Linked DNA regions of Drosophila melanogaster. The gene in region 2 interacts genetically with the main gene of each other region. Each region holds a gene or a part of one and is shown on either strand. Other genes may lie near its edges.

Region 1 (5,645 bases), on a different chromosome or scaffold from region 2:
CAACTTCGCTGGCCCAAAACATCTATGAACTCTTTCAGAAGCATGACTGGTACGTAATTGTTTTTCGAAAATGATTACAATACAATTAAGTATCTTAATAAGTATATATGTAAATTCAAAATAAACAAATAAACTTTAAAAAAACAAGCGATATTGTACTTTATATACCATCATACAGCTGCCAGCGATTGATATTCATGTGGGCTCGCTGTTTTCATACCACTTTTGAATGTCTGAAATTATTTTCAGTGTCATTTAATCGCAACAGTTTCGCTCGCTTTTCTCCACCGTGCGCATGTCTCCATGTCGAATGCGAAAAAATCGAAAACCAGTTCCATTGCAATCATAATTACGAGGCTCCCCATTTATGCATTTTCATTTTTGAATTTGCAATTGAGCTTCTCAAAACGGCGCACGTACATCTAGTACATACATAAATACGGGTATGCAAACCGATATTCGTAAATCAGCCAGAATTCAATGTGAATGTGGTGGATCAAAGCCAAGTTATTGCATAATTCGCCACTAGTTCACTAATTTCAAATCAACATTTTTGAGCTGGCAAAGCAAAAGTAAAGTAAAAACAGCTCTAAATCAAAGTGAAGGTGAATGAAACTAGAAATGCACTCGAAGAAAAAGTGCGTGCTTAACATAAAATAAAAGAAACTTGCTAAACATTGTACGATTCGTGCTTTTAAATATTAGTAGATTTTATATGCTGATCATATGCCGAAGTAGATAGCACTCTTCTATATAATACTTATATCATAGTTAGCCCCATTTCTCGCTGTGTACGAAGTGGAAGTGGAGTTCGTGGCCACGCATGCGGAGCAGAAAGACTGCAAAGCTGAAAAAGAGAGAGGTTTCCCTCTTTTTTTCCAGACAAAAGCGAGATTAGTTCCTCGCTCGTTTGCCCGCCAATCGCGGGTATATAAATTATTATACATTCATACATATATATGTACATACATTATATGTATGTACTTGTATTTCAAGGCGTATTGGAGCTCTTTCACTTTTGTTTTGATTTTTCTTTGGCCAGGCGGACTTTCAGTTTCATGGCTTAAATGCTAATTGGTAAATGCGATTGGCAGTATAAAGTTTATGAAAACAAAGAGCTCAAATCATTTCATTTGTTCTTTGTCAGCTAATCGCATACATAAATATGTATATATAAGTTCTTCCTGAACACTCGCAAAAAACACGCTATAATCTGGCAAATAAAACTCGAGCTGCCAGCGCCCAACAAAACAATAATTATATTATGTGTTTTTTAGCGAATATCTTGAATATTTTAAATATCCCGACTCTCGGCTTGCCATTGAATTCCCCTCATCCAAGTGTTCCAGATAGCTTTACTGCCCACGCACACGAGCGTGGTGAATTCCAGCTATTTAATCTAGTTGCCACTGGCATTGTTTGCTGAAAGCATAGTTAGTAGTGTATGGTTTATAAAGTACATACATACATACATGCATATGAGTATAGTGCTCCTCGCACTTTCTTATCAACGAACCTGCCACCCTCCCCAGAAAAAAAAGCATAAAGTAAATCGAGTATATCAGTTGCAATAAACAATTGCTGGGCCAGTTTTCAATTGTGGAAATTGTGAAAAGCGAACAATAAAAAAAAAAAAAACATTTGCACCGATTCTACTCGAACTCGATGCTAGTAGGTTAATAAAAAGGAACAGCTGTCGCTTTCTGCGAAATGCAAAACAAATAAGGGCATTCTACGAAATTCCCTTGAATGGCTTATTTAATATTTGTTATTGCCACAAGTTGCATCAATTAACGATTGCCAATAGTTTGCTTCTGTTACAGCTCATTACTCCCATTGCATTATTCGATCCCTTAAGATATACAAGATATATGATCGAATTTAACACCTGTGCTCGTTGGGCAAGAATAAAGCGCAACAGGTGCATATCGGTTGATGGCCCCATTCCAGGTGTTTATTATTATAAATATTGCATAACAATTGGCACTGCCACTTGTGGAATGCTTCCAGACTCGCAATTCGATTCGAATGCATGACCCAGAACGTGATTTGAAATTCTCTCGGGATAAACTAGTTCCAGAAAGCCACTTAGCTTAAGTACACAAAAAACACTCACCCCTCTTTGTTAGCAGTGTGACGGAGGCGGTGGTCACGCCCCTTATTTTAAGCACATGACTCTCGATCTTGTTGACGCAGGAGGCGCAAGTCATGCCCATAATCTCCAACTCCACCTCCGCCTCGCCGTTGTCCGGCTCATCGATGAGTTCGGTGGGGAAGCCCAGCTCCGTGATTGATTTCGCTATATTCTCGGCCGTCACAACATTGGCATTGAACTTGACCTCCGCCTTGGCGGCCAGCAGGGCTACCAGGATGCTGTCCAGGCCGTAGATCTTCTTGCAGTGCTTCTCGATGGCGGCCACACAGCTGGCGCACGTCATGCCTCGGATGTGCAGAAAGCATTTGGTCAGTAGCTCCTGTTCGACGGGTATGGCCACTGCCGAACCATTTTGAGCATATGAAGGAGGTGGAGGAGTAGGAGTTGCCCTCTTTTTGGGTGATGAGGCGGGGGCGGGCGACGGCGATTGGGATGGCGATCGAGGTTCCTGCACACTAGCCTCAAAACCCATGTCATCGATGAGCTCGGCTATCTGGGCGGGATCATACTGGGCGGGATCGTACTGAACGCGGGCATTCTTGGCCGCCAGTTGCACCTCAATGGAATGGATGCCCGGCTTGGTGCCGATATTGCCTTCGATGTTGCGCACGCACGACTGGCAGGTCATGCCCACCACCCGTATGTTGGTCCATGCGCTGGCGGGAGTTTCGGGAGGATCTGCTGCATCCCCTGGATAGCTGCACTCGAAGCCCATGTCGTCGATATCGCTGGCTATCCGGGCGGGATCCGTCTGTCGGGGATCGTAGTCGAAATAGCCCGCATTCTCCTCGAGAATGACGCGCACGCCAAGGATTCCCGATTTCTGGCCAATGTGCTCTGTGATATTGCGCACACACGACTGGCAAGTCATGCCCACAATGGGCAGGCGCACCGTGGACATCGTCGCTTCTACTCTCTCGTCACTTGGCATCCTCAATGTGCATTATTTTGGGTGGGCGGAACACGACGATGCGGAATTACTTGATATACTTGAGATTTTGAACTTTTGAGTTGCCCCTCGCCCTATCGCACGTACCGAATTGTGTCACTAAACTAACTTTGTGGAGTCGGGTGAGTCGTATTGCAGCTACTACTGGATTTGTTGTGGTGGAGTAGTCGCCTCCCGCCAACGCTTTTCACTTGGCCAAACTCCACACGAAACTCACAATTTTGCGTTCTTGTGTCTAATTTTTCAATTAGCAGGCAACAGCTGCTCCGCTCCCGTTATGTTTTTCCCACGGCACGCAACTACCGATGGCCGTCCGTCGATAGGCAGGCGCTATCGAGATGAGCTAGATACCGATGTGGGCTATATCGATACATTGCTTAAACTTTCGATTCGATAAAAAAATATGTGACTAACTAATGTTTTCTTTTTAGCTATTTAATTGTTTAGTTAAATTTCAAACTAAAAAAAGGAATCTTATTAGATTTGAAAATTGCCAAGGTATCGTACATATCCCCCACTTGTCGATAAAAAGTCGATACGAGTCACGGCCGAACGGTCATCTGCCATCTCTATCCGGTCTACTACCGATTTGATTTGATTTGTTTTGGAATATCTATCTCTATTTTTTCGAAATCTCCAATATAATCCAACTCAGCATTGGCGCAGTAAAGCAAGATGCCGGTGGTGGAACTGAAAGTGGATCGCAACCTGGTGTGCTCGGACTTTTCTGGCTACAAATTGGCATTCGATTCGGTGCCTGTTCTTCGCCAGGAACTTGGATGTGATGCCTACGTGCTGGATCCGAGCAGCAATCAGTTCTCGCTGCTGCACACGGAGCTCTTTGCCCGACACAATCACCTGGTAGCCGATCCATGGATGCGCCACTGCAGCTACTTCTTTAACAAGCGCCACCAGCTGGTGCAGTGCAACTACGATCTACAGACTGGACGCGCACGTGCCCAGCGCGTTGTCCTCACGGTGGACTATAGGGATCAGGGCGATGGGGAACTACATCGGTCGGGTGACTACAACTACACCATAGTTTTCGTTTCGGAACGATTCTGTGTGATCTGCGACGGTATAACCAGTTACCATCTGGTGGACACCGGCGACAGAACGCGCACCGATGTGCAGGAGTGGCAACGGATTACACGCTCGCCGGTGAATAATAACAGTGGTCATCGCGGCTTTGCACTCTTCGATGCCCGGCTGGATGTGCTGCAGGAACGTAAGCAGATCTCGCTGGTGGCCGGTCATGTGGCACGCCGTGATGCAGTTGGCCAAGATCAGACGCACGTCTATTACATGGACTTGACCTGGGCACGGTGGACTCATTCGCCCACCAATGACGAGTGGTCATATAATATCTGTCAACGGCTGGAGACCACTGGCTCTGTGCACTACTGCGCCTTTGAGCCTCGCGCCGAGTCCCTAGTCATTGCCAGCAACCGCGATGTTCAGACTCCCGAGGAGCGTCGGGCAGCCGATGAAGCAGCCGCTGCCCGCTTGAATTCCTCAGGTGATCACGATGGCCAGCTGGAAAATGGAGGTCCACCTAGTTATAGCTGGTCCCAAACGGATAATAATGTGCTCATTCGTTTCAATGTTCCTTCAACTGCATCCGCTAAAGAGTTTAACGTGAGCGGTTCTAAAACCACTGTCGTTGTAAAGCATCTGGATGAGGTTATATTCGACGAAGAGTTATACGCCAGTGTGGGAGATGATTTAAGTGCATTTAAGTTGGCTGAGAATGGCCTAGAATTGTCACTAACCAAGGCGGAGATTCAGAACTGGCCACGTTTGTTCGCGCAGAAGAAAGATGACGTAGCGGAGGAAGTACATCCAATGGAAGCTCCACCACTGCCCATTCCAAGTCTGCAGGATCCCGTTGAAGAATGTGACTTAATATCCGCTGATGAAGAAATGAAGATGGGTAAGCATTCTATTATACATCTGCTGCATATGCTTAATAAATACATTTTCTTCTTTTAGTACGCTTCAATTTGACCAGCGGGTGCATCACCCACACTATTTTTCTTGGTCCCCCGCCACTGGTGCTCACCACCACGCTGCGTCCTGGCTTTCCAGCCGCCTTTGCTACCCGCCAGGGCGTCGACGCCTCCATATGGCTACAGATGTACCAGCCCAGTCGTCCAGATGAATGGAGTGTCCGCCACGAGGGCCAGCTGCACGCCTTCGGCTACGTGCAGGCCTCCAAGGTTGTGCGGAAATTCACCGTCTGCAGTCCGGATCTGGATTACGTAGCCATATGTGACCCTGTACGCTACGTTCTCGTCTACTTTCCGGCTAATAATTCGGCTGATGGTCTCCGCAGGCGAAACGGACCTCCCGTCACCTTGGGTAAACAAAAGCTCATCACCTTGGGCAACGAGATTGACGAGATTCTGGGCATAACCACGGCAAACAATCTGATCACCGTTCTCTCCAAGAAAGAACTGATACACCTGCAGGTGTAGACGGTGTTCCGCTTTTCTTTTTTTCTCCATTTACTCTTAAAGAATTATGGCTTTACAATTCAAA
Region 2 (8,753 bases):
GGCACATTTCAATTAACCACAAATGAATGGGAAACGGAAAACATCAATCAATCCAGTCGTGTTGTAGACACACCGAGTATAAGAGTAGGGTGTATGGTGTATAAGATAGTGAGAGGGACAGTGGTGAAACACACAGACACATACAGAGAGAGTGCAGGGTTTCCAAGTACATATAATAAAAGAAATATGTTGTGATACAAAATTATTCGAAAATTACCCACATTTATTTGGATTTCTAGTTATTTTAGTGGTATTAGGGTGATAAATGAGCCACGCCCAATGTGCTTTATGTCCATTACGAAAAATATACTTAAAATAATCTAATATATTTTAATACTTAAGCAAATATAACATTTAGTTACTAATTGTTTCCTTATTTCGTTCTAATTCCTTGTACAATCCTTGTGCAATCAAATTCCAATCGTAAAATGGCTTATATTCGCACTTATGGTCAAATACCAATTACCAATAAATTGAAAGACTTCTCGAGTAATACTTAGTGATAACTGCAACTTTATTTAACATGCTAAGCGCCAAAGCTTTATGAGTACATAATACCCATAGCTCGATAAAGCAATCATAGAAGACTTACCACAGTCAAGCTTATAATCTATAGGACCCCATCGTTGATGGGTAAATGCTTTTTATGTACAATCGTAGTTCCCCTAAAGACATGCCTTACAAATGCTAAGGGTTGCGTAGAGCCCTACTAGGTACGTGTTAGTAGTGTTAAGCGTGTGATTTAGTGTTAATATCACAAGGGTGTGTGGGGGAGTGTGGCCTGATTGAGTCACCGGGATGATTCAGTTAGGCACTTTCTCCGAGACGGTATCAAGACCTTTCACCGTGTTAGTAGCTGAATCGCCTACAACTAAGGTTACATCACTGTGAAAAATCGAAAGAAGAGAGCACAGCAAAATACGGGTTGAGGGTTTAGTTTTAGTTCAGAGATGATAACCAAATGTAGATTAGTAAATAGAAAGTAAGTACAGATGAGATAAGATTAGAATCATTAGGAAGTTAGGCCGATTTGGTTGAAAGCAGAGCGGGAAAAAACTTAATCACAAGCAATGGGTTAGCAGAGAATGCTTTTAAGGAAGAAGATGCAAATCGAGAGAGTTTGTGCATTCGAGTGTGTTCTGGATGGTTATATGGTTGAATGGTTGGAATCAAAAATCGGGAACATACCTGGCGTACGTCGAGTTGGCGTTCTTTATCGAAAAGCTGTTCTGGCTTGGCAACACAAAACGCTGCACCCACTGTAAACAGAGAATACCTTGAGTACCAGTTGATGAAGTAGGCATAAGCCCTCAAAGCCCCCAAGAACCATATGTGGTCAGTCACGTAATTTGATAAAGTCAGTCCGTTCAGTGCGGTATCTGTGATGCTTTAAAATGTGTCAAAAAGTTCGCCTAATTTGTGATTCTCTAAGCCCATTTGATAAGTGACCCAACTAGTTGCGGCCAAGTACTTACCCGGCTGTTCATCAAACGCTGATTGCCCATGCAGGCAGCCATGTGTATCACAAGGTAGAGGTTGAACAGTATATACAAAATGGCAAAAATACCTGCAATTGGCAAAAGGAAAAATACATTAGATTCGGTTTAAATTGTGGCAATTGACTACTCACAGACTAGTGCCAGCAAGCCGCCTTTAATTTCCATATTCTCTACTTGCACCACCACAAAGTACAAATTAACGCCAATCACTACAATGGTGAGCAGTATGGATACGATTTTGTTGCCCCTGTGAATACAAAAATTTAAAGAATGCACGATAATCAATTAAAAGTGTCTGTATCACTTACAGTCCATTAACAAACTCGCCCATTATGGCGGCGCACGAGGTGAAGGCGATGGTGGGTATGGCAGCGAATGGCAGCTGGAGCGACATCACCGCATTCAGGATATCGTTCATGCTAGTCAAATCTTCCATCTTGCTGAACATGGCCAGGCAGAAGGTGGGAATAATGGCAATGCAGCGCGTGACCAGCACGCGACACCAGCGCGGCCACTGCAGATTCAAGAAGCCTTCCATTGAGAACTGACCGGCATAGGTGCCCGTCATGGTGGAACTCTGGCCAGCAGCTAGAATGCCCACACCCCAAATGTACATGGCGACAGCTCCAAATGTGCAGCCAAGGAAAAGTCCGCCCTTGTATAGATCTGCATCGATGATCGCGGTTCCATTTACATTGTCCACAAAAGACATTTTGGCATCTTCGTACATCGACTTGTCTTTACACACTTCAACCTATTGGCCCACAAAGAGTTAGCAATCATTTTACACATAAATTCAAAAGTCTACTTACCACATCATTATTAGTTTTGCCATACATGCCATGGGCAAACACAGCCACCACAAACAGGTTAATGATGAAGGACACAAACAAGGCTACCGACGCCTCGATGAAGAAGTAAAAATTCGCCTCACTAACTTTCTTTGTCTGGCGACGGTCTATATCGCGGGACTGTTAACAGAAAATTGTTATGTATTGGTATCTAATTACGAAGTCACAAAAAGCTAGTTGTGCTATACCTTAACCAAGGCGGAATGCAGGTAGAGATTGTGCGGCATAATAACAGCACCCACGACACCCACGGCCTGCAGCAACACATTCGAATTGCAGTTAGAGCACCAGGGCACAAACATTCCCTCGAGAACTTCTCCTTGATTAGGGGCTGATACAATGTACTGAAAGATATGAAAAATAAATTAATTATGACTTAAAACCATTTAAAAAATGATTATGGGGAGAAAACAAATTGTTCCTAGCTTATATTGAGATTTGGTTAGAAATAACAAAATACTTGTTACTCGTAGAAAAATCCCCTCGAGGCACCCCCACTTTTTTCCATTGTAATTATCTCCAAAAACCACCATCGGTAATTGTACAATTCTGCATTGTATAATCTAATTGATAAGACTGGCATTACACATCCCATCTGGAATTGTTAGTCATGTCCGGCAGCATCATGTGCCTGGCAAACAAAAGATGAAGTATCCAGCACCCACGCTCAGAACCCCATTTAGTGTGCGAGTGAAGCTTATCTAATCATCTCCGTCTGGGGCAGAAAGCTCAAGTACAATTGTTTATAATCTGGCCCGTTAACATGATGCGGTCGTAAACTTAAGAGTAAGAATATGGGGCTAGTTAACGGGCTAACTTCATCCAGAAATCGACAAGTCAAATGTAAATTTACTACTAGCGATCATTAAAATAAACCTAAACAGGCATCTCACAAATTATTTGCCATTGCGGTCGTTGCAATTGTTTAAACAATTCGTATTTGCACTCACGTCTGGTAATTTATTCTCTTGACTACTTTATTGTCATTTGGCAAGGGGATTTTTTGCTGATTTTGGCGATTACTTTTTATAGTTAAGTTATTTTTTTCAACTTTGCATTTTAAACTTACCTCATAGCCGAATGAGACAGCCATAATGGTGATGAGGGTGCCGAATAGGAACTCCAGCTTGCGTAGACCGTACTTGTCCAGAAACAGGAACGTGAACGTGTCAACAATGGTGATCAACACTCCGCCCCACAAAGGCACTCTACAAAATGGGGAAAGCACCGCATGCATGAGTACTGGGTACTGCGATAATCCGCTCATTAGATTTGCTTACACTTTGTTGGACAGCAGGTATATGGCAATGGCCGTGCCAATGACCTCCTGCATGTCGGATCCAATAATGGCTATCTCTATCATTATCCACAGTATCCAACGTGGCAGACGCTTGTACTGTCTGTAGCACATCTCGGCCAGATGCAGGCCTGTAACCACGCCCAGTCTGCCAGGAAGATAATAAACGCTTATATCATCATCTTTTTTGCAAGGTGTGGAGACCCAATTACCTTGCAGCCAAGCGTTGCATGAGCAGACCTAGGACTGTGGCCCACAGCAAGACCCACAAGATCTTGTACTTGGCCGCCGCACCAGACTGCATATCGGATTCGATGTTGCCGGGGTCCAGATACGCAATGGACATAAGAAAACCGGGTCCCGTGAAGGCCCACAGCTTGCGAAAGCTGAAACCCACCTGCAGATCACCAGATATTAGATAAAGTTTGAGTAGCATTGCTATTCAAGCGGGTCTTACGTTTGTGCTATCATCGTCGGGTATGAGGACCTTCTCGTCGCTAAAGTAGGCCTGCTTGGCGGCGGGTTTCAGGTAGGTCGTCTCGTTGAGTATCTGCTGGTGGTGCAGCTGGTTGCTCCGCTGACTTCCTCCGCCGGATGCGCCAGACGATCCGCCCGGTCCATCTCCACCGGCACCCGGCTCGTGGTAGGCCTCATTCGAAGACATGCTGCACAGAAGAGGCGAGGTTAGACTGGACCTAATTCGAGTTTCCACATGCTGCTATATTCCCGTCCACTGCCCATTGTCGACTACTCTAATTTGTATTTTCTATTTGATTGTTTCACCTGGCATCAGCTTATGATTCCCACCATTTTCATTTAATTGAGCATCTGTGTGTGATTCTAGCTCAATTAGCATTATCATATTGCACACAACAAACAAAATAATTTTGCGCTATAATTAAGTTTTTTGCACCATATAGTTTTATTTGGGGATTTCACCATAATCAAGAGCAAAGTCACAGTAACACGTTTTATTTTTTCCGAAACGCGCGTGGCAAAATATGAAAACAATAAATAGTTCGAGAGGCATTAGCTCGGGGGTAACTGATAACGCGTCCATAATATTACTGAAATTTGCTTATATTATGCGGGTATATAAGGAAATAAAACGAGCTCAGTGATTCATGAAGTCCAGTAATTGAAATGCCTCTGCCCAATTTACCCAGAGAACTTGCAGATATTTCGCATTTGCAGTCGTATAGATATGGATGGTCGAAAACAAGACTACTTGAACATAAACACGAGTCCATTGACCCGTGTATCGATGTGAAATTTTGGACTGTTTATTTGGTAAAAGCGATTACAAGTGCATTTCGTATACAAGATGCCTGAGCAGTCTTGGCTGCTCTTCAACGCAATACATTGAATGTAGAGCCAAGTGGCTCACCTTGACAAACGCGACTGCCCCACTGATGCTACATATCTGCTATAAGGCTTTCCACATCGCTTCATTGATGATTGAATCGGAGCAAGCAAAGACAAAGAGCTCGAGAGCATCGTGCAATGTCTACTTCACATTATATGTGGCACTTGGACGGGTACATTTGGCATATACTATAAGTAACCGAGTTGGCCATATCAAGCCGCCATTAATGGAGCTTAAATCGCGCTGCAGTGGCTCGAAGGAAATGTGTAACAACGAAATGTCGGAGGAGGGTGTTTAGTTCATTGGAACACTTTTGTGTTATATTGTGTGGCGCAGACTGCTCTGTTTACCCAGTTGTATGGCAATACCCACGCCCCCAAAAGCGGAATTCTAGCCGATAAGTGTATAATCAGCCACATATTTATGTACGTGTTCCTTTGCCACTTTAGTGCCCAGTTGGACGCTGTAAATTATGACAATTGGTAATCAAAAAAAAAAAAAACGAACCATTTCCATTAAGAGTCCAAATTAAGTGGCACCAAAAAATATCATGAGTTTATTTAGAGAAAATATATATTTTAAACTGCGTACCATTTTGCGCAGTCAGCGGGCAAAAGCAATTTATATTGTATATTGAAGCAGGCGAAACAAAACACTTGACAACAAAAAATTGACAAATGCAGATAACAGTAATTTGAAAATAGAAGAGCAATACTTATCAGCCCACATTGTTAAGTCGCTTGTTAAAAAAAAAAAAACTAAAACAGTAATTATACGATTTCCGCTGCCTAAAATAGTTATTTCTATGACAGTTCTCGCTGGCAATAAAAGTAGTGAATTGTGTCTGGAAAACTATCCATTGTTAGGGGATTTTAAAGTGCGAATAGCTTGTCAACAATTGTTTTCTGTTTACGGTTATTTACGGTTAAGAATTATACATTACTCTCTTTGCCGGTTAGAGGGAGAGCGGACGGAGAGAGGGTGCACCACGTTGTTTTTGTTATTAGCGCACACCTGCGTGCGCACTCACACACACACACGAAATATTGATGGAGATGTAAATTATTGGGCAACTCAGGTTAAACAGCACTTCCTACCAGTTAATGGCTTACTTGCAACTGGGGGTTAACTAATTGGAGCCCTCGCCTTTATTATATCACAATCTCGGCACTTGTGGCAGCTTATAAATGCATTTTCCTGCTTTTCTCGCGGAGCAATTTACGAAATTTACGAATTCCGTGACGTTGTACGGCCGAAACAAGAGTGGTGATGGTCGCAGTAAACGAAGCAGAGAAATGACGAAGAAGCGGACGGTTTGGCTGCCAATTGCTGACTTAGTTAACGACAATTGACGAGCGTGCAGGCAATTTGTGCTCAGCCGTGAGCGCAGCTCTTTGTTTATTAATTTTCCTCACAATATTTGAGATTCTGCCACCAGCTGCTTTCTTTTGCACGCACACTCACTCGCCTCTCACATGCACACTGTCTTTTCGTCTGTGCCCAATGTGGCAACCTGCGGCCACTCTCTCTTCTTTGACTTGCCGAAATCTGGCAACACTCGACAAGAGTACTAACCTTATCGGCCAAACTGAAGTTTTAACTCTGAGCCCACGCGATCGAGTGACTGACTATAGCATTTTGCGGTAGCCCCTATTTATTCAAAATATCTCTCTCTCGCGTCGGCAAGTGAGAAAAAGAAAGACAGAAAGAGAGAGAGAGAGAGTGTGTGCGTGGGAGAAAGACCACTGCTTTTTTTTGAGGGGAGATTTTTTGATAAGGCCTGAGATTTGGATTTTTGAAGGCCCCAGAAATACCGCCTAAGATTTGAACATGCATTTGAAATACCGGTTTGTACATCGACCGCAGGTTACCGTTAGAAATGTTATGCGGGATACATAGTTAAGTTGCATACCCTTTGAGTTACAATCACTAGTTAATAATATCTACGTTATTACCAACACGCACACTTTATCGTAATACCTCCTTGAAGTTTAATTTATACATCAACTTTATCAGTCAAAACTTTGATTTCGTCTGACACTTTTTTCGATTACGATCCGTCGCCAATAATTGCGATAAATCTTATCAAGTCTTTTTGGGATTGGCGCTCAAATTTACAATATGGCCGTACATCCTACTTATGTATGTTTTTTAACTAATTAATCACCACAATGCAAAGTACTCTTTCTTTGTTGAGCCCATATGCACTCACATTTGCACCATGAATCATGTCAGTAGCTCGTTTCATGTAACAATTTCTACTTTGCCAGATTACGATGCGTTCGGAACAGGCAGATAAGAATTCGGCCCATCCAAGAAAGGCCTTGACAGTTCTACCCCAAAATAGAGATATCCTCGTGATATTAGAAGGAACCCAACAATATGCTCGTTCTTATCTTCTTATAGAAATTTGTGAATTCCCGTATCCAATGAAATCATTTTACTTAGTAAAATGATTTGTTAGGCCTTAAAAAAAAACAAAAACACCCGAACTATCAGTACCACAATTTAAGAGAGAACTCGTTATTATTTAACTTTATTAATTATGTATTTCTTTATCAAAAGAGCAGACTTTTTGTTTGTGACTGTCTTCAACATTAGATCCGTCTTTAACATTAGATCAGATCACCTGACACGGGAAACTCTCGTAGACTTTATACAATTCAAAAAAACCAAAATCGTTACTTGACACAAATATCATAACTAATGCATAAAATATGAAATGAGAGATATCTAAAATAGCTTGGCATATTTTCTTGGTAAAATAAATGTGTTAAATACAAAGAATGTAAAATGCAATAAATGATACATATATCAAAAATGGAATACCACGGTTACTTTAAGTGCTAGCATAACAAATTACAATAATAATTCAATATCTAGCCATTCGTTGCACATAATTTGGAGGGTTAAGAGGGTAAACAATGGATGGGAAATGGGCTGGGTTAGTTGCGAATTGGTTTATATGGTTTATAATCCAACATCAGTATTATCGTTTTCGTTAGTATGTAAATACAATTTGATTTTGTTCTATCGTGAATTTCAATTGGAAGCTTTTATGAGTTCTGTCCCACCACCTGCACGTAGTTGGCTGGAAAGAGTCCGTAGCGGTTCTTGCACAATCCCCTCCACCACCCATCGTCGATCTTCTCGATGTGGGTGATCACGTCATCTGGATCAAAGGATATCTCGTCGTCATCCGCCGCCTGGTAGTCGTACAGGGCAATGGCGTGGATTCCGGTGTCCTCCAGATAGTCGGCCAAATTGTCTGAGTTCGCGTAGATTGCCTCCTCGGGAACGGTTGCGGTGCCACTCGGAGCAACAGCCTCTGAAACGGTTCCATTCGTTGGTGGCAAGGGCGAGGCAGCCTTAATCTCGGCCTGGTTCTGGTACAGTGGCTCTTCTTCAACTACTGGCTCAGGATCGGCTTGAGGTTGCGGCTCAGGTTGGACTTGGACTTGGGCGTGGACTTCGGGTTGAGGCGTCGGCACATACACTGGTGATTGCGGCTCACTTCTGGGAGGCGTGTCCACGGTCTCAACCTCAATTTGGGGCACCACATCTGGTGGTGGAGCTGCAGCCTTGGCCACTGGAGCTGTTTCCGGCTCTCGAGCGGGGACCACTGTCGGAGTAGGAGCAACCGCAGCTGATGTTGTACTTGCCGTTGGCTCCTCCTTTGCTTCTAATTCTATTTTAACAGGCTGCGCCTTGGGAATGATAATGGGTTCCTTTCGTGCTGG

What was found. A genetic interaction does not mean that the proteins touch.
Region 1: of Mvl (region 2) and ATP7, changing one enhances a phenotype caused by changing the other (phenotypic enhancement), as found in Drosophila melanogaster (one study listed by BioGRID).

The regions. Positions count from the first base shown.
Region 1 is NC_004354.4:11,852,793-11,858,437, reverse strand, and holds the start of ATP7 (ATP7), read right to left. Parts: upstream 3,417-5,645; 5' UTR 3,087-3,416; coding exon 2,117-3,086; intron 1-2,116. Other genes in the region: CG10347 (uncharacterized protein), read left to right, coding at 3,780-5,037, 5,097-5,581.
Region 2 is NT_033777.3:21,054,157-21,062,909, forward strand, and holds the start of Mvl (malvolio), read right to left. Parts: upstream 6,498-8,753; 5' UTR 6,429-6,497; exon of another isoform or gene 4,313-6,428; 5' UTR 4,312-4,312; coding exon 4,105-4,311; intron 4,045-4,104; coding exon 3,860-4,044; intron 3,796-3,859; coding exon 3,631-3,795; intron 3,559-3,630; coding exon 3,420-3,558; intron 2,695-3,419; coding exon 2,539-2,694; intron 2,471-2,538; coding exon 2,312-2,470; intron 2,254-2,311; coding exon 1,808-2,253; intron 1,747-1,807; coding exon 1,631-1,746; intron 1,568-1,630; coding exon 1,476-1,567; intron 1,260-1,475; coding exon 1,189-1,259; intron 886-1,188; coding exon of another isoform or gene 804-885; exon of another isoform or gene 492-803; intron 1-491. Other genes in the region: cortactin, read right to left, coding at 8,070-8,753. UniProt on the Drosophila melanogaster protein: Putative transporter required for normal taste behavior. May be a nitrite/nitrate transporter.